3 linked regions of the Arabidopsis thaliana genome follow. The protein of the gene in region 1 interacts with the protein of each later gene in a biochemical or structural test. Each region holds a gene or a part of one and is shown in the gene's direction. Other genes may lie near its edges.

Region 1 (7,194 bases):
TTGGTCGCCAGCTCTCGATAGCATATCATGTAAGCTACCATTTTGTGTGAATTCATAGATCAAGAAGATCATCTCGTCTTTGAAGCAAAACCCAAGAATTCGAGTAATGTTCTTATGCCGTATCTTTGCTATGGTTCTCACTTGAGCTTTCAGAGATTTCGAGGATATATTCTTAGAATTCACAAGCTTCTTCACAGCTAATAACTCCCCACTAGATAAACTGAGAACGTATACTTCACTTCCGGAAGGACAACTTTCATTCACCACTTTCATCAACTCATGCTCAGTTAACTTGAAGGGATAATAAAACTCCGAGCGCCAAGTACTCTTGAATTGCACTTTCTTTCGAGAATAACGATATAACACCGCAAGGAAAGTGGCAATAGCAAGTGCTAAACATATCAAAGATAACACCAACGCTTTACCACCTTTTTTATGGAAGTTAGACCGATCAGAGGAGCAAGAATTGGGTAAACCGGGTCCACAAAGCTCAGGATTTCCTTGCAGAAAGGAAGCTGGTAACCCGGAGACCAGAGAGTGAGGTACCTCACCTGATAATCCATTGAATGACACGTTAAAAAGAGCAAGCTTTAGGTTCTGTAAGCCTTGAGGGATCAAACCAGTAAGACTATTATCAGATAGATCAAGATAGGTCAGAACATGTAAATCAGCAAGTGATGGCGGGATTTCTCCGGTGAATGCATTGCCTGCTAGAGACAAAGAGACAAGCTTCTTGCAGTTTTTCAGTTCTGGGATCTTTCCTAAGAGCCTATTGTGAGAGATGTTTACAATACTAAGGACAGGTGAGTCGCAAAAATTCGGCGGTAACTCTCCACTAAACCGGTTTTGTGAAGCAGAAAACTTATACAAGCTCTTAACCAATCCAAGACCATGTGGGATTTCACCAGAAAAGGAATTGTTGACTATCTCAACTTGCTCCAATGCAGAAGCCAAAGACACAGACTCTGGCACTTGACCTGTGAACCGATTATTATCCGCTCTAATAATCTTAATCCTGGGTAATTTCCACAACACAACTGGAAACTCACCAGAAAATCCATTGTTCTGCACTTGAAGCCTCTCCAGACTAAGGCATTCACCAATGGAGTTAGGCAATGACCCTTCAAAGAAATTCGAGTGGAGAGAAAGGTTAATAAGCCTTTTACCACTGCAAATGCCACTAGGGAAAGAGCCAGATAACTTATTCTGTGAGACATCAAGAGACACTAAGTTCTTGAGAGAAGGGCCTAATGATCGAGGAATCTCACCACTCAGGTTGTTCAAACTCAGATCCAAGGTTCTCAAACTTGTCAAACCAACAAACGAAGTAGGAATCTCTCCATGGAACCCTGACCTATGCAACAGAAGCTGTTCAAGCTTGTCTAGCTTCCCAAGAAAAGAAGGAATCTCACTAACCAAATAGCTGTTTTCAGACAAATCAAGAACAACAAGCTCACTTAGCTTCCCAATAGCAGGAGGGACGATACCAGTGAGCAAATTACTTCCCAAGTTGAGAACTTGGAGATTAAACAATAACCCTAAATCTTCTGGAATCATACCTTCGACATGGTTACTGCTAAAGTCAATAACTTTCAAGGAACTAAACTCAGAAATCTGATCAGGGATTGTGCCCCAGATGAGATTAGAGCTGAGATTAAGAGTCTCTAAAGTAACACAACGAGACAACTGAAGTGGGATAGGCTGATTGAAGAAGTTCAAGGAGAGGTCAAGGTGAGTGAGGTAAGGGAGGTCACAAATGGAGTCAGAGATTTCACCAGAAAGATTCAAACTTTGAAGGTTAATGGAAGAGACGTAAAGAGTAGGAGCTCTAGTACATGTGATACCAGTCCAGTTACAATGGTGCGAAGAAGAAGTGTTAAACCAACCTGAAAGAGAGCCTTTTGGATCATCAAAGGAGGCTTTGAATCTGAGAAGGTTACCAAGTTCCTCGTTCTCTGTGAAAGAGAAGGTCTTGGTGAAGAAGAAGAAGAATGTCAAGGCTAGTGAGATTGAAAACTGGTGCTTGAATCTGGTAGCCATTAATGAGTTAAGAATAGAGAATGAAGAGGATCTGCTGAATGAGTGAAGTAGTGAGAGAGTGAGAGTGAGAGTGAGAGTGAGAGTGAGAGTGAATTGAATTTCAGGTGTTGAAAATACGGGGTGGGTTTTGCAATTATAAGATAGTAGGGTTGGTTAATGGTAAAAATAAAGAGTATAGGGTTTAGTTTGAAATTTCCCGTTAAATTTTGGTCGAGGGTCTATGGGGAACTGGTAGATTTGTAGACAAAACGACGTCTCGGAGATTGGAATTTCGGATCGTGTCTCTCTCTGTTTCTTTGTTTCAATCCGATTTCGAATCAAGCCCTTTACTTGTGCACCTTCAAGATTTCGTTTTTCCAGGTCAGTTTCTTCATCAAGCCAACCTTTTTTTCTAGGGTTTTTCTTCCTTTGTTTTTTTTCTGGGAGTTTTCTCCTTCACAGTCCTAAGAAGCTACTTGTTAACTCTGTCTTTTTGCTTTTGAAGTTAAACCTAGTTGACTTTCTCAAGCTTAAAGAGTTCAGCTTTTTTTTTTTTTTAATTGGTGATTTTGTTCTTAATTTTGAGCTACCAAAATCATCGAATTAAATGTTAATCTCTTGAATTCTGTTTCGGTGGTAGTTTCTTGGTTTGAAATCATAGCTGCAGCTTCATGCCGAATTCTCACTGGTTCTAGATTTAGAGTTTAGCTTTTTTTTTTTACTTTACTCGGATATGAATACTGAGTAAGGAATTGAGTCAACTCGGATGTGAATACTGAATAGTTTTTGTTCTAGCTAGAGTTGCAAAACTAAGAGATTCAGCTACTGAAGCTACTTTAGTGTCATTCAAACTGAATTGAAATGATGTGTGTGAGTGTGACTGTACCTAATTTTTCAAACTCAGGCATTTTCGACTGTGCCAACACCTTAAGTCTCACTGATTTTGACTTTGATCCGCGAGCTAAGCTTAAGGTCTGAATGAGTTTCTCAGACTTTGTAGATTGTGCAAGCTACATGTCTGATTGGGTTTGATGAATTGCTTTAAAGGTTGTGTTTTTGATGGGCTATTTTTGTCAGTCTGTTAGCTACAAACAGATTGTTCTTATATATTTGACTTTGTGACTTATGGTAGTCAGCAGAATTTCCCTTAGGACACTTTGAATAAGTAAAGGACTCTTTAGCATTCTTTAGCTGGCTTGTTTAACTGAAACAAACTAGAGAACCTTTTTCTTGACTTTATAGGACATAATTGAAAACTATGTTAGCAAAAGAGATGGTATGTAATGCTGTTTTTTTTTGTGCTCATTCAGCGCAGCCAATGCTCCGGGTGACCAACATTTGTTCCTGATTCATTTCCTATTGATTCGTATTGGTAGGTGTTGATCTTTCTTTTATATTCTATCACCTAATTTTGTTCTTTCTGTCTTTTTTTCTTTTTCTTAATTTCCTTCCGAATCCTGGCAGTCTGTGCACACAAGAGAAATTTCAAGAAGTTGTTACTAAAAGAGAGGCCACAAGTGGATATTGTCTTTGTTATCAAGTGTTAGTACAGAAAAGTGGTGAGAAAGTAATATGGCTGATACCAGTCCGAGAACTGATGTCTCAACAGATGACGACACAGATCATCCTGATCTTGGGGTTAGCTCATAATCTGGCTAGATTTTATCACTTATATTCTTCAAAATAGTGTGATTTTTTATGGACCAAACAAAAATTCTGGTGTTAATTTTAATGCAGTCGGAGGGAGCACTAGTGAATACTGCTGCTTCTGATTCGAGTGACCGATCGAAGGGAAAGATGGATCAAAAGGTGACATGTCCATCTCTGTAGATAAGATCACTGTTTTTATTCAGCCAATTTATAATCTCTTTTTGTTTCCTTATATTTTGATCCATAGACTCTTCGTAGGCTTGCTCAAAACCGTGAGGCAGCAAGGAAAAGCAGATTGAGGAAGAAGGTATATTACCTTCCATTGGTTTTATCTTTTTTTACTTTTTCTTTTCTTTTTAAATTGGTGCATCGCTAGAAGCATAGCTATTTGGTACTACGTTAATTCCTTTTAATTGCTCCCTCCATAGGCTTATGTTCAGCAGCTAGAGAACAGCCGCTTGAAACTAACCCAGCTTGAGCAGGAGCTGCAAAGAGCAAGACAGCAGGTTCAAATTTGTTTCTTATTTCTATTGATTTTTATTTTGTTATTCTGTATACCTAACGGTAAATTTCTTGTTTCTAGGGCGTCTTCATTTCAGGCACAGGAGACCAGGCCCATTCTACTGGTGGAAATGGTTGGTTGCTTATTCTCCATTAGTTTTAATTATGTTTATTTTTTGGCTTCTAATTTGTGTATAAGTTAAGTTCATATATCAACTTCCTGTTGACTTGGTGTAGACTGATCAATTAGTACATCATATCTCATCCCATTACAATACACTGGGTTATCAGAGTCAGTGGCAGACTGACATGGTTCTGATAGCAAAAACTGTTATTCTAATTAGCACTGGTGTAGATTTAGATTTACAAGATGACGAATCTCATGGGTTTGTTTTGATCATGTATAAATTTTTTAATTCAGGTGCTTTGGCGTTTGATGCTGAACATTCACGGTGGTTGGAAGAAAAGAACAAGCAAATGAACGAGCTGAGGTCTGCTCTGAATGCGCATGCAGGTGATTCTGAGCTTCGAATAATAGTCGATGGTGTGATGGCTCACTATGAGGAGCTTTTCAGGATAAAGAGCAATGCAGCTAAGAATGATGTCTTTCACTTGCTATCTGGCATGTGGAAAACACCAGCTGAGAGATGTTTCTTGTGGCTCGGTGGATTTCGTTCATCCGAACTTCTAAAGGTGAGGTCAAATTTCACTTTGTCTTCACCGATTGCATCTGTTTCTACATAGAACATAAAAAGAATGGTCATAGGGAAAAATGTGTTGAAACAGCTTCTGGCGAATCAGTTGGAGCCAATGACAGAGAGACAGTTGATGGGCATAAATAACCTGCAACAGACATCGCAGCAGGCTGAAGATGCTTTGTCTCAAGGGATGGAGAGCTTACAACAGTCACTAGCTGATACTTTATCGAGCGGGACTCTTGGTTCAAGTTCATCAGGGAATGTCGCAAGCTACATGGGTCAGATGGCCATGGCAATGGGAAAGTTAGGTACACTCGAAGGATTTATCCGCCAGGTACAACACTTGTGATGTTTTGAGATGATATCTTAGTTAAGAGTATATATATATATCAATAGGTTAATAATCGTCTCTTGGTTGGTGGTGGCAGGCTGATAATTTGAGACTACAAACATTGCAACAGATGATAAGAGTATTAACAACGAGACAGTCAGCACGTGCTCTACTTGCAATACACGATTACTTCTCACGGCTACGAGCTCTAAGCTCCTTATGGCTTGCTCGACCCAGAGAGTGAAACTGTATTTTGGTCACATGTCAGCTGTACAAAATCCATATGGACACAAAACCAGGAGAGACTATTAATCAACACTTGTCAGATTCTTCTTACCAAATCCATCAACAAATAAGCAAATTTCTGGGAAACAAAAGACTCTTTGTATGTAGGTTTCTTCTACATGGTTGTGGTAATTCATGTTGTTTTAGTTGTAGTCATCAGTTTTTAATTTAGCATTTGAAAAGTTCAATGTTGTTTATATAGCATCTTCGATTATCTTAGAAAGGTTATTGAATTTTGTTTTTTTTTGTTACTTTTGTGTGTGGTAAAGGTGTTTTAACCTTGCAACTTCTGTACTGTAATCATTTAACAATATTAAGATGTTCTATTTGAGTTTTGTAGTTTCATCGCTTGTGTCTTAAATCTTATTTAGTGAGGATTCTAATGTAAACTTCCAAGAGATGATGAAAATGAATTTACATTCAAAGTAAGTGTGATAGATTTTTTTGTAATAAAAAAAGGGACATGTCATTGTCAAAACCAAGAATTATTTTGTTTTTAGAAAAAAGAGAGTGTTGCAATTTTCAGAGGACTTTTTAACCCTCAGCATCTAGAGGTCCACCATCACTTGAGTTTCGTCTTCCATTCCTGTTTTTTTTCAGAGACCGGCAAAATAAAAAAAAAGAAGATCGTACAACTAAAAATACCTCAAAGAAGGAAGATACAAAAGTAGTAACCTTTGTTGGTGATTGATACTATATCTGTTGTGGGTTTTAGACAAAGACCACGTCTTTGCAGTTGTAGATTGGAATTTTCCGGATCTTTCTCTAAATCGCTTTTTCTCCGAGCAACTTTTGTTTGGGGTTAAGCTCAAAGAATCCGTTCTTTTCAGGTGAGTCTCTTCTTCAATAGTCTTAGGGGTTTTAGTTCTTCAGTTTTCTTATTCTGCCTCTGCTTTCATGATTGTTTTTTTCCATTGAAGATTTTGACCTTTGAGGGAATTTTTTCCTTTTTGCTTTATGTACGTGTTAAGGATCCAAAATCATTATTTCGGACACTATTTAAACGAATTGGTTGAGATTTGATGTTATGAAGCTTGAATTTTGTGTCTTTTACTCTGTTTCCGGGGCTAGTTTGCTAAATTCTGAATCTTTTAGCTCTACTTCAGTCTAATGTTCAGATTAGTTACTGTTTCACCTCACGGAGAGCTTTACGCTATAGAAGTCCGTTGGTTCTCATTTCAAATCATATAGGCGTGCTTATTGTTTACTTTGATTCTCTGGCTTTGAATACTCAAAGTTCTTGAGGTCATTGGTTGCTTCACAGCTATGTGTTAAGTTTAGTGGTTTGGATCTTTATGTTAGTGTGACATAAATAGGGTGATGTATCGTATCATTGTTTCCACTTTCTTGATTCTACTTAATGCGTTGGTTTTTGGCTTAAAAATATGTTTTCTTTCTCTATAACTCTAATCTTTTGTTTATGTTTACCATCTTACTTTTGACAGTCTTTACTCCATCTAGGGTACCACGATTGGATCGGTTTTTATCTGATGATTTAGTAACAGAGATTTTGAAGAAAAAGAAAAATGGGAGATACTAGTCCAAGAACATCAGTCTCAACAGATGGAGACACTGATCATAATAACCTAATGGTTAGCTTGTAAAATTTCTAGGTCTTGCTTCTTTATGTTCATTAAATGGCCAAAGTTTTGAAATAAAACAGTATTTATGCAGTTCGATGAAGGGCATTTGGGTATCGGTGCTTCTGAT
Region 2 (6,372 bases), on another chromosome or scaffold:
TTCTTGCATTGGATATCACGGAACAACAATGTGATCCGGTTTTGTCTCAAAACCGAAACTTGGTCCTTCTTCCATACTCCGAACTCTGATGTTTTCTCAGGATTAGTCAGATACGAAGGGAAGCTAGGTGCTATTCGTCAGTGGACAAACAAAGATCAAGAAGATGTTCACGAGTTATGGGTTTTAAAGAGCAGTTTTGAAAAGTCGTGGGTTAAAGTGAAAGATATTAAAAGCATTGGAGTAGATTTGATTACGTGGACTCCAAGCAACGACGTTGTATTGTTTCGTAGTAGTGATCGTGGTTGCCTCTACAACATAAACGCAGAGAAGTTGAATTTAGTTTATGCAAAAAAAGAGGGATCTGATTGTTCTTTCGTTTGTTTTCCGTTTTGTTCTGATTACGAGAGGGTTGATCTGAACGGAAGAAGCAACGGGCCGACACTTTAAAAAAAAAATAAAAAAAATGGGCCGACAAATGCAAACGTAGTTGACAAGGATCTCAAGTCTCAAGTCTCAATTGGCTCGCTCATTGTGGGGCATAAATATATCTAGTGATGTTTAATTGTTTTTTATAAGGTAAAAAGGAATATTGAATTTTGTTTCTTAGGTTTATGTAATAATACCAAACATTGTTTTATGAATATTTAATCTGATTTTTTGGCTAGTTATTTTATTATATCAAGGGTTCCTGTTTATAGTTGAAAACAGTTACTGTATAGAAAATAGTGTCCCAATTTTCTCTCTTAAATAATATATTAGTTAATAAAAGATATTTTAATATATTAGATATACAATAATATCTAAAGCAACACATATTTAGACACAACACGTAATATCTTACTATTGTTTACATATATTTATAGCTTACCAATATAACCCGTATCTATGTTTTATAAGCTTTTATACAATATATGTACGGTATGCTGTCCACGTATATATATTCTCCAAAAAAAACGCATGGTACACAAAATTTATTAAATATTTGGCAATTGGGTGTTTATCTAAAGTTTATCACAATATTTATCAACTATAATAGATGGTAGAAGATAAAAAAATTATATCAGATTGATTCAATTAAATTTTATAATATATCATTTTAAAAAATTAATTAAAAGAAAACTATTTCATAAAATTGTTCAAAAGATAATTAGTAAAATTAATTAAATATGTGATGCTATTGAGTTATAGAGAGTTATTGTAAATTTACTTAAAATCATACAAATCTTATCCTAATTTAACTTATCATTTAAGAAATACAAAAGTAAAAAACGCGGAAAGCAATAATTTATTTACCTTATTATAACTCCTATATAAAGTACTCTGTTTATTCAACATAATCTTACGTTGTTGTATTCATAGGCATCTTTAACCTATCTTTTCATTTTCTGATCTCGATCGTTTTCGATCCAACAAAATGAGTCTACCGGTGAGGAACCAAGAGGTGATTATGCAGATTCCTTCTTCTTCTCAGTTTCCAGCAACATCGAGTCCGGAAAACACCAATCAAGTGAAGGATGAGCCAAATTTGTTTAGACGTGTTATGAATTTGCTTTTACGTCGTAGTTATTGAAAAAGCTGATTTATCGCATGATTCAGAACGAGAAGTTGAAGGCAAATAACTAAAGAAGTCTTTTATATGTATACAATAATTGTTTTTAAATCAAATCCTAATTAAAAAAATATATTCATTATGACTTTCATGTTTTTAATGTAATTTATTCCTATATCTATAATGATTTTGTTGTGAAGAGCGTTTTCATTTGCTATAGAACAAGGAGAATAGTTCCAGGAAATATTCGACTTGATTTAATTATAGTGTAAACATGCTGAACACTGAAAATTACTTTTTCAATAAACGAAAAATATAATATACATTACAAAACTTATGTGAATAAAGCATGAAACTTAATATACGTTCCCTTTATCATTTTACTTCAAAGAAAATAAACAGAAATGTAACTTTCACATGTAAATCTAATTCTTAAATTTAAAAAATAATATTTATATATTTATATGAAAATAACGAACCGGATGAAAAATAAATTTTATATATTTATATCATCTCCAAATCTAGTTTGGTTCAGGGGCTTACCGAACCGGATTGAACTTCTCATATACAAAAATTAGCAACACAAAATGTCTCCGGTATAAATACTAACATTTATAACCCGAACCGGTTTAGCTTCCTGTTATATCTTTTTAAAAAAGATCTCTGACAAAGATTCCTTTCCTGGAAATTTACCGGTTTTGGTGAAATGTAAACCGTGGGACGAGGATGCTTCTTCATATCTCACCACCACTCTCGTTGACTTGACTTGGCTCTGCTCGTCAATGGTTATCTTCGATCTTTAACCAAATCCAGTTGATAAGGTCTCTTCGTTGATTAGCAGAGATCTCTTTAATTTGTGAATTTCAATTCATCGGAACCTGTTGATGGACACCACCATTGATGGATTCGCCGATTCTTATGAAATCAGCAGCACTAGTTTCGTCGCTACCGATAACACCGACTCCTCTATTGTTTATCTGGCCGCCGAACAAGTACTCACCGGACCTGATGTATCTGCTCTGCAATTGCTCTCCAACAGCTTCGAATCCGTCTTTGACTCGCCGGATGATTTCTACAGCGACGCTAAGCTTGTTCTCTCCGACGGCCGGGAAGTTTCTTTCCACCGGTGCGTTTTGTCAGCGAGAAGCTCTTTCTTCAAGAGCGCTTTAGCCGCCGCTAAGAAGGAGAAAGACTCCAACAACACCGCCGCCGTGAAGCTCGAGCTTAAGGAGATTGCCAAGGATTACGAAGTCGGTTTCGATTCGGTTGTGACTGTTTTGGCTTATGTTTACAGCAGCAGAGTGAGACCGCCGCCTAAAGGAGTTTCTGAATGCGCAGACGAGAATTGCTGCCACGTGGCTTGCCGGCCGGCGGTGGATTTCATGTTGGAGGTTCTCTATTTGGCTTTCATCTTCAAGATCCCTGAATTAATTACTCTCTATCAGGTAAAACACCATCTGCATTAAGCTATGGTTACACATTCATGAATATGTTCTTACTTGAGTACTTGTATTTGTATTTCAGAGGCACTTATTGGACGTTGTAGACAAAGTTGTTATAGAGGACACATTGGTTATACTCAAGCTTGCTAATATATGTGGTAAAGCTTGTATGAAGCTATTGGATAGATGTAAAGAGATTATTGTCAAGTCTAATGTAGATATGGTTAGTCTTGAAAAGTCATTGCCGGAAGAGCTTGTTAAAGAGATAATTGATAGACGTAAAGAGCTTGGTTTGGAGGTACCTAAAGTAAAGAAACATGTCTCGAATGTACATAAGGCACTTGACTCGGATGATATTGAGTTAGTCAAGTTGCTTTTGAAAGAGGATCACACCAATCTAGATGATGCGTGTGCTCTTCATTTCGCTGTTGCATATTGCAATGTGAAGACCGCAACAGATCTTTTAAAACTTGATCTTGCCGATGTCAACCATAGGAATCCGAGGGGATATACGGTGCTTCATGTTGCTGCGATGCGGAAGGAGCCACAATTGATACTATCTCTATTGGAAAAAGGTGCAAGTGCATCAGAAGCAACTTTGGAAGGTAGAACCGCACTCATGATCGCAAAACAAGCCACTATGGCGGTTGAATGTAATAATATCCCGGAGCAATGCAAGCATTCTCTCAAAGGCCGACTATGTGTAGAAATACTAGAGCAAGAAGACAAACGAGAACAAATTCCTAGAGATGTTCCTCCCTCTTTTGCAGTGGCGGCCGATGAATTGAAGATGACGCTGCTCGATCTTGAAAATAGAGGTATCTATCAAGTCTTATTTCTTATATGTTTGAATTAAATTTATGTCCTCTCTATTAGGAAACTGAGTGAACTAATGATAACTATTCTTTGTGTCGTCCACTGTTTAGTTGCACTTGCTCAACGTCTTTTTCCAACGGAAGCACAAGCTGCAATGGAGATCGCCGAAATGAAGGGAACATGTGAGTTCATAGTGACTAGCCTCGAGCCTGACCGTCTCACTGGTACGAAGAGAACATCACCGGGTGTAAAGATAGCACCTTTCAGAATCCTAGAAGAGCATCAAAGTAGACTAAAAGCGCTTTCTAAAACCGGTATGGATTCTCACCCACTTCATCGGACTCCTTATCACAAAAAACAAAACTAAATGATCTTTAAACATGGTTTTGTTACTTGCTGTCTGACCTTGTTTTTTTATCATCAGTGGAACTCGGGAAACGATTCTTCCCGCGCTGTTCGGCAGTGCTCGACCAGATTATGAACTGTGAGGACTTGACTCAACTGGCTTGCGGAGAAGACGACACTGCTGAGAAACGACTACAAAAGAAGCAAAGGTACATGGAAATACAAGAGACACTAAAGAAGGCCTTTAGTGAGGACAATTTGGAATTAGGAAATTCGTCCCTGACAGATTCGACTTCTTCCACATCGAAATCAACCGGTGGAAAGAGGTCTAACCGTAAACTCTCTCATCGTCGTCGGTGAGACTCTTGCCTCTTAGTGTAATTTTTGCTGTACCATATAATTCTGTTTTCATGATGACTGTAACTGTTTATGTCTATCGTTGGCGTCATATAGTTTCGCTCTTCGTTTTGCATCCTGTGTATTATTGCTGCAGGTGTGCTTCAAACAAATGTTGTAACAATTTGAACCAATGGTATACAGATTTGTAATATATATTTATGTACATCAACAATAACCCATGATGGTGTTACAGAGTTGCTAGAATCAAAGTGTGAAATAATGTCAAATTGTTCATCTGTTGGATATTTTCCACCAAGAACCAAAAGAATATTCAAGTTCCCTGAACTTCTGGCAACATTCATGTTATATGTATCTTCCTAATTCTTCCTTTAACCTTTTGTAACTCGAATTACACAGCAAGTTAGTTTCAGGTCTAGAGATAAGAGAACACTGAGTGGGCGTGTAAGGTGCATTCTCCTAGTCAGCTCCATTGCATCCAACATTTGTGAATGACACAAGTTAACAATCCTTTGCACCATTTCTGGGTGCATACATGGAAACTTCTTCGATTGAAACTTCCCACATGTGCAGGTGCGTTCGCTGTCACTGATAGACCAAGAGACTGAAAGCTTTCACAAATTGCCCTCAAATCTTCTGTTTCTATCGTCATGACTCCATATCTCCGACCACTGGTCATGAGCCAGAGCCCACTGATTTTGAGGGAATTGGGCTAACCATTTCCGAGCTTCTGAGTCCTTCTTTTTGATGTCCTTTATGTAGGAATCAAATTCTTCCTTCTGACTTGTGGATCCAGCCTGCTTCACAAGGCTCACCAGGTTGTAGTCTCCAAAAATATCATGGAATTGTAAGCAAAAACAATCCAGACAGAACCTGTGATAGACCCAAGGTTCTTGCCACAGTGATCCGGGTTCGTTAATAACAGCAACTATGTCCGGGTGAGGACTGGAGACGAGGCAAACGTCTTTCCTTTGTGTTACCTTCTCTCTGATATTAGTGAGAAACCAACGCCAACTATCAGTGGACACTTCTTTGGTAAGCGGAAAGGCAAGCGGGAAAAAGCAATCATCAGCGTCGAGTCCTGAGGAAATCATCAATTTCATAGGGTACTTGCCGTTCAAGTCTTTTGAATCCACTATGATCAGAGGTCTACAGTGTTGAAACCCTTCAATGGACTGTGGAAACGCCCAAAACGCGCCACCGAAGGATGCAAATTCAGGATTAGGGAAAAGCTCATATTGCAGTCCACAAGTAGCCCATTAGATGAGTGAAATGCAGCCAATTAGTTTAGGCAATACTCTGAAACTCTGATCTTTGATTACTTCCTGTTCTGCTGCCCGCAGCTTTGAAGTTTTAAGCATGTCACCAAACTTTTCAACTCTGCTGTTAGAGTGGGTTGTACCCTGATCAGACACTCAATCTCTTCTGCTGCAAATTACAAGTTGAAGTTTTCCGGCTTAATAGAACAACAAGTATGTGGACCAACTACACTTAGTTATCTTAACAAGTCCATGTTCTTCTATTCAATCTGCCCGACGCGACCAATTGCATTTCCATCTGATGCATTTAAACGTATACTCGTCCTTCTCAATCTCTTGTACTACACACTTTTGCTGCCCTCTAATGGAACACCAGTCCACCGCCTTCTTCAGCTCATCCCTATCTTTAAAACACAACCCTACACGCAATTCATGATCATCAATCCACAAACTAGACAAAGTACACTGTTTTGAAGCACTCGAATCAACAACACCTTTACTTAATAAGCACGCATACGGTAATACCTCTAAGCCTGGCACATTCAAACCTTGTGTGCATCATCTGAACCCGAGTTTTTATCCGTTATTTCTCCATCCCCACCTC
Region 3 (6,667 bases), on another chromosome or scaffold:
TGGCGTGACGTAAAATTGCGAGCTTTTGATAATGCTAAGCACCGTACTTACGTTGATTTGAAGGTAAAATAAAACTCTCTCCTTACAGTGAATGAGGTCTATGTTTCTTGTGCAAGAAGTAACTAATTTTGGGATTGATTAGGACAAATGGAAGACGCTGGTGCACACAGCAAGAATATCACCGCAACAAAGGAGAGGTGAGCCAGTTCCACAGGAGCTCTTAGACCGGGTACTAACGGCTCATGCCTACTGGTCCCAGCAACAGGGGAAACACCAGTTACTAGAGGGACCCCAGCAGCTCGAGACCAGTCTTGGTCTATAGGCCGGGATTAAATATTATCTTCGCAACGTGATAATGGACGTTAGCAGGATAAACCTGGAATTTATTCGTTCATATATACTTTTTTGTTTGTTTGTTTATCTGTTTTATGCATGTATTTGAGAAGATTCAATGTAAAAAAAAAGGAATGGATTGTGTGGTAAAGAAGAAGAAGAAGAAGAAGATATATAGATGAAGATATGTGAAGTCCTATGTAATTGTCACAGTGCTTGGTTGTAATAAGAGGTTTCTTCCTTTTGGTGCCTTGCAAAATTGAGATCCTGATAAGATTCCTTGACAAGAAAAGGTAGAGTTGATAAGGAGAAAAGGAAACATAACATACGTACCAATAATTATTCACTTTGGCTTTTTGTGGTAATAGCTATGCGACTTTTTTCAATGGCTAAACAGACTTTTTTGGACACTTACAGAAGAAAAGAGAATAAGATGGGAGATACTTTAGGATCTCATAGATCAACCGAGAGAAATAAATGAAGTTGTCATTTTCATTATTTCATATCTTTCTCAAAAGTCGACACCTATCGATGAGTAAACTTTTTTGCTAGCATCGTTTGCTATGTGGCTACGAAAGTAAAAAAAATGGATGTGTTCATGAAGCTACGATTAGTCCAATCTTTTAGTGGGAAGCGAAAGTAAGGTGCAATTAATGTAAGAAATTCATGATATTGCTACAGCGAAATTGTCTTGTTCCAAACTTCCAAGCTTAGCACATCGTCTGATCTCTCAATTTTTTCTTTTGTCTTATTTTGCTTTAAAAGTGCAGTATTTTAAAAATTGTCATTTGCTAGTTCCTAGTATTGTCATAATCTTTGTTGTTGAAATTGTTCAATTATTAGCCAACACTAGAATATTATTATATGTTTTTAAGTAAATTTCAAGATTGGGATACCATTTGTGGACCGAAAGCAACAACACAGTTGCGCTAGCAGTGTCACTAAGGAAGGCCGACATCAATCATATATCGCAAGAGACGGACCTTACTGGCTTCGTTATGTATTCTCTTCGGAATTTATCCTCGTTGTTCTTGGCCATGAATATTTTCTTCCAAGTTTTTTTTGGTCTCTCCAAAGTCCAAACCATCTCTCCCGCATATATTAAGGTTAAGATGATTTTTAAAAAGGAGATAACAAATTTTATAATTGGAATTATTATCTTAGTCGGGTCAACGAAAAACTAGTGAGCAGCCAGGAATGTTGAAATATAAGATATGGGAAGAAAAGTAAAATGACTATGAAATAATAAAGTGTGACTTGTATAACGATTATCAAAACATAATACACAGTAACTTTTTGAATCTCAGGCCATCTTGTGCATATTCCTTAAAATTCTTACGATATTGAGATTGATTTTTTTGGTGGTATGGTATCCATAGAGTGACTTGTATATCTATTTCTTTTCTTGCCAAAAAATTGTTCAATAAATCTATTTTATGTAGTCACTAATCAGTAATCACTGCTGTCAAAAATAAAATAAAATGTAATCACTAATCAGTAATCACTGCTGTCAAAAATAAAATAAAATGTAATCACTAATCAGTAATCATATAGTACGTTATCTTTCTATGAAAGTAACATTGTTTCATTCGTGTACTTTCTAGATTGGTCTCACCACACAAAAATAATGCTGTTTTGGAAAGAAAAGAATCATAAAATCTCATCGCCTTAACATCCTTTACATTATAATTCGTATTCACTAAACTAATTAAATAATAAAATTAATATCTGAAATAAAATTAAAACTAAAGAAATTGATAAATTTCCAAATAAATATCAGTTTCTAGTAAAAGTAAACAATAAACAGTGAAAATTGAAACTTGTCTTGATTCGGAAAGATTCTTTTCAGACAACAGATAGACCCAAGAAGTTGCCTGATCGACTTATATTTCTGAGTGAAATTTAAAAGAAAAGAAAAGAGACAAGGGCATATTCTTTTATATTATCTCTGTAGAGAGAGTAAAAACAATTAATTAGTTCTTATCTTTCATCTGCTTCATCATCTTCTTTCTAGTCTCTCTCTCTCTCTTCACCGCGTACACAGTAACACAGACCCTTTTTCCCTCTTACTCAAGGTTCTTCTTTGTCATCTTGTTGCCGAATCCACAAAGAGGTACGCTTTCTTCTCTGAAATCTCCCTGCTTTGTAATTTTTACTCTCTTCTCTTCTCATCTTCTTCAGTGCTCTGCTTTTTTGGTTTTGGTGATTGATCAGGAGAATAAAGATTCGACCTTTATTAGATATTAACGACTCTGGATTTTTGGGTTTTTGGAGTTGGATCCACATGGGTTCTTATCCGGATGGATTCCCTGGATCCATGGACGAGTTGGATTTCAATAAGGACTTTGATTTGCCTCCCTCCTCAAACCAAACCTTAGGTTTAGCTAATGGGTTCTATTTAGATGACTTAGATTTCTCATCCTTGGATCCTCCAGAGGCATATCCCTCCCAGAACAACAACAACAACAACATCAACAACAAAGCTGTAGCAGGAGATCTGTTATCATCTTCATCTGATGACGCTGATTTCTCTGATTCTGTTTTGAAGTATATAAGCCAAGTTCTTATGGAAGAGGATATGGAAGAGAAGCCTTGTATGTTTCATGACGCTTTGGCTCTTCAAGCTGCTGAGAAATCTCTCTATGAGGCTCTTGGTGAGAAATACCCTTCTTCGTCTTCTGCTTCTTCTGTGGATCATCCTGAGAGATTGGCTAGTGATAGCCCTGACGGTTCTTGTTCAGGTGGTGCTTTTAGTGATTACGCTAGCACCACTACCACTACTTCCTCTGATTCTCACTGGAGTGTTGATGGTTTGGAGAATAGACCTTCTTGGTTACATACACCTATGCCGAGTAATTTTGTTTTCCAGTCTACTTCTAGGTCCAACAGTGTCACCGGTGGTGGTGGTGGTGGTAATAGTGCGGTTTACGGTTCAGGTTTTGGCGATGATTTGGTTTCGAATATGTTTAAAGATGATGAATTGGCTATGCAGTTCAAGAAAGGGGTTGAGGAAGCTAGTAAGTTCCTTCCTAAGTCTTCTCAGCTCTTTATTGATGTGGATAGTTACATCCCTATGAATTCTGGTTCCAAGGAAAATGGTTCTGAGGTTTTTGTTAAGACGGAGAAGAAAGATGAGACAGAGCATCATCATCATCATAGCTATGCTCCTCCTCCCAACAGATTAACTGGTAAGAAAAGCCATTGGCGCGACGAAGATGAAGATTTCGTTGAAGAAAGAAGTAACAAGCAATCAGCTGTTTATGTTGAGGAAAGCGAGCTTTCTGAAATGTTTGATAAGATCTTGGTATGTGGCCCTGGGAAACCTGTATGCATTCTTAACCAGAACTTTCCTACAGAATCCGCTAAAGTCGTGACCGCACAGTCAAATGGAGCAAAGATTCGTGGGAAGAAATCAACTTCTACTAGTCATAGTAACGATTCTAAGAAAGAAACTGCTGATTTGAGGACTCTTTTGGTGTTATGTGCACAAGCTGTATCAGTGGATGATCGTAGAACCGCCAACGAAATGCTAAGGCAGATACGAGAGCATTCTTCGCCTCTAGGCAATGGTTCAGAGCGGTTGGCTCATTATTTTGCAAATAGTCTTGAAGCACGCTTAGCTGGGACCGGTACACAGATCTACACCGCTTTATCTTCGAAGAAAACGTCTGCAGCAGACATGTTGAAGGCTTACCAGACATACATGTCGGTCTGCCCTTTCAAGAAAGCTGCTATCATATTTGCTAACCACAGCATGATGCGTTTCACTGCAAACGCCAACACGATCCACATAATAGATTTCGGAATATCTTACGGTTTTCAGTGGCCTGCTCTGATTCATCGCCTCTCGCTCAGCAGACCTGGTGGTTCGCCTAAGCTTCGAATTACCGGTATAGAGCTTCCTCAGCGCGGTTTTAGACCAGCGGAAGGAGTTCAGGAGACAGGTCATCGCTTGGCTCGATACTGTCAGCGACACAATGTTCCGTTTGAGTACAACGCAATTGCTCAGAAATGGGAAACGATCCAAGTCGAAGACTTAAAGCTTCGACAAGGAGAGTATGTGGTTGTGAACTCTTTGTTCCGTTTCAGGAACCTTCTAGATGAGACCGTTCTGGTAAACAGCCCGAGAGATGCAGTTTTGAAGCTGATAAGAAAAATAAACCCGAATGTCTTCATTCCAGCGATCTTAAGCGGGAATTACAACGCGCCATTCTTTGTCACGAGGTTCAGAGAAGCGTTGTTTCATTACTCGGCTGTGTTTGATATGTGTGACTCGAAGCTAGCTAGGGAAGACGAGATGAGGCTGATGTATGAGAAAGAGTTTTATGGGAGAGAGATTGTGAATGTTGTGGCTTGTGAAGGAACAGAGAGAGTGGAGAGACCAGAGACATATAAGCAGTGGCAGGCGAGACTGATCCGAGCCGGATTTAGACAGCTTCCGCTTGAGAAGGAACTGATGCAGAATCTGAAGTTGAAAATCGAAAACGGGTACGATAAAAACTTCGATGTTGATCAAAACGGTAACTGGTTACTTCAAGGGTGGAAAGGTAGAATCGTGTATGCTTCATCTCTATGGGTTCCTTCGTCTTCATAGATGTTGTTTCTTACGTTCTAAGCGACTGGGATTTATGTAGGGCTTTTCTGTTGATAGTCTCTCGCCAACACGAGTGGATTAAGTTCAGAGTTAGGGTTCTTGAACACTAGAATGTTGTTATATTATGCTTGTGACATAGCGTGTGTAAGAGTGTAGCCTAAGAGATATAGTACTCATTGCATGATCTTTTGCTATATGTTCATGTAATCTTTTGTTGCATAAATAATGAAAAGTTACATTTTTTTCAGTGTCTTGTTTATACAGTTCTATTGCAGAGTGTGACATCTCGTCATCTCGTACTACAAAACACACCGAAAAGTAGATAATCATGTACTAGGACGACATAATCAGAAATAATAATGAAAACTTTAAAACCTGGAAAGTGAAAACCCCTATGAAAGCCTACTAGTACTAATCAGAAGTATTACATCATTTTAACTAAAGTCTTACAATTATTGATTGAACAACAAACAACAAACAACAAACAATAATTTCAAAATCAAACAAATAATCCATCCAATAAACTTTCCTAACTATTATATCCAGGATTTGTTTATAACGCCGAAAGAGTTGAATATTTATTTGGAGACAGAAAAATATAGTTACTCAAAAACGTGACACCCACTCAATTTCGAGTTTTTCTGACATAAAAGTATTTCTTCATGTACTAGTACAATAATACGTGGTGAGAATCTCACAATATATGTCAGAATGGCATTGTGGGATCAGATCTGGAGGGGTCCTTTTCACTTTCTTGTGTTTATTTATTGTCGCTGTTCTATATAATTATTACGATGAAGTCACTTTATGTTATCATATTTCGTTTGTTTGTTGATATAGTATTCATCAGCTAACATCAACTATTTTTTAAATAATTCGTACTGGTCAAATAATCAACTCCACCTATCAGGAACCTTTAATAATCTTGCTCTCCAAGTTTTACATATGATTTTTTGTCAACTTGAAACTGTTGGAATCACATATTTATTTTATATGCAAACACATTTGACTTTACATCAAAATAATAATAATCATAAAACAAGAGTTGATCAAGTAACATATACATAATTTTGATATAGACACCATCTAAAAGCGGCCGGAATATGTAATTTAGAAATTTTGTTAGTATTTTTAGAATCCAAGATCGTACATATGTAAATCAAAAACATCACTTCTATGGTTCACATAATTATAAATTAATAATTTGTACGGTTTGACCGCATCTATTATATATATAAAAAAATGTCTAACATATCCCAAATGAGAAGCATCTCGAGCTATTTATAAAATACTATACAAATTTTAAAAATCAGTAAGTACACTTGTTGTTATTAAGAAAATAATGATCCTAAGTAACTCGTCGACATATTCAATTTTGGCAACTACTTTCTTGAAGCAAACAAAATTATAAGCTAGTATCAACAAACATATGGATCATTTAAGCTTCGATAAGCGGTCAACATATGGGGGAATTAGGAGACAAATCACTACTTAAAAAGAACCACTAGTCATTACTTTTTGTGGATAACATGACAATCACTACAATAAAAACTGGGCCCATCAAGCCCAAGAATACTCTTAATGACAAGTCAAAAGAGAGATAGTTTTGAGTTTTGACTCCTCGGACGAATCGCAAGACTGGTCTTGTCCCCCTTTCGAGTTTCCCGGGAAACTTCCTCCTTCCTCTAATCTCTCTACAGTTCTCAATTTCTTGCTTCTTCTCTCACGCTTAGCAATTAT

What was found.
Region 2: the proteins of AHBP-1B (region 1) and NPR1 form a complex in vitro, tested with the Arabidopsis thaliana proteins (4 studies listed by BioGRID).
Region 3: the proteins of AHBP-1B (region 1) and SCL14 form a complex in vitro, tested with the Arabidopsis thaliana proteins (one study listed by BioGRID).

What each region holds. Positions count from the first base shown.
Region 1 is NC_003076.8:2,148,732-2,155,925, forward strand, and holds AHBP-1B (bZIP transcription factor family protein), read left to right. Parts: upstream 1-2,108; 5' UTR 2,109-2,400; exon of another isoform or gene 2,401-2,404; intron 2,405-2,577; exon of another isoform or gene 2,578-3,066; intron 3,067-3,329; 5' UTR 3,330-3,391; exon of another isoform or gene 3,392-3,395; intron 3,396-3,483; 5' UTR 3,484-3,591; coding exon 3,592-3,657; intron 3,658-3,756; coding exon 3,757-3,828; intron 3,829-3,916; coding exon 3,917-3,976; intron 3,977-4,097; coding exon 4,098-4,175; intron 4,176-4,252; coding exon 4,253-4,304; intron 4,305-4,591; coding exon 4,592-4,863; intron 4,864-4,956; coding exon 4,957-5,202; intron 5,203-5,296; coding exon 5,297-5,443; 3' UTR 5,444-5,855; downstream 5,856-7,194. Other genes in the region: AT5G06940 (Leucine-rich repeat receptor-like protein kinase family protein), read right to left, coding at 1-2,040; OBF5 (OCS-element binding factor 5), read left to right, coding at 7,011-7,076, 7,159-7,194.
Region 2 is NC_003070.9:23,851,469-23,857,840, reverse strand, and holds NPR1 (regulatory protein (NPR1)), read left to right. Parts: upstream 1-2,182; 5' UTR 2,183-2,433; coding exon 2,434-2,994; intron 2,995-3,073; coding exon 3,074-3,809; intron 3,810-3,917; coding exon 3,918-4,121; intron 4,122-4,231; coding exon 4,232-4,512; 3' UTR 4,513-5,093; downstream 5,094-6,372. Other genes in the region: AT1G64290 (F-box protein-like protein), read left to right, coding at 1-447. UniProt on the Arabidopsis thaliana protein: Salicylic acid (SA)-binding substrate-specific adapter of an E3 ubiquitin-protein ligase complex (CUL3-RBX1-BTB) which mediates the ubiquitination and subsequent proteasomal degradation of target proteins.
Region 3 is NC_003070.9:2,312,088-2,318,754, reverse strand, and holds SCL14 (SCARECROW-like 14), read left to right. Parts: upstream 1-2,247; 5' UTR 2,248-2,446; intron 2,447-2,547; 5' UTR 2,548-2,617; coding exon 2,618-4,927; 3' UTR 4,928-5,174; downstream 5,175-6,667. Other genes in the region: TRFL2 (TRF-like 2), read left to right, coding at 1-63, 143-322. UniProt on the Arabidopsis thaliana protein: Probable transcription factor involved in plant development.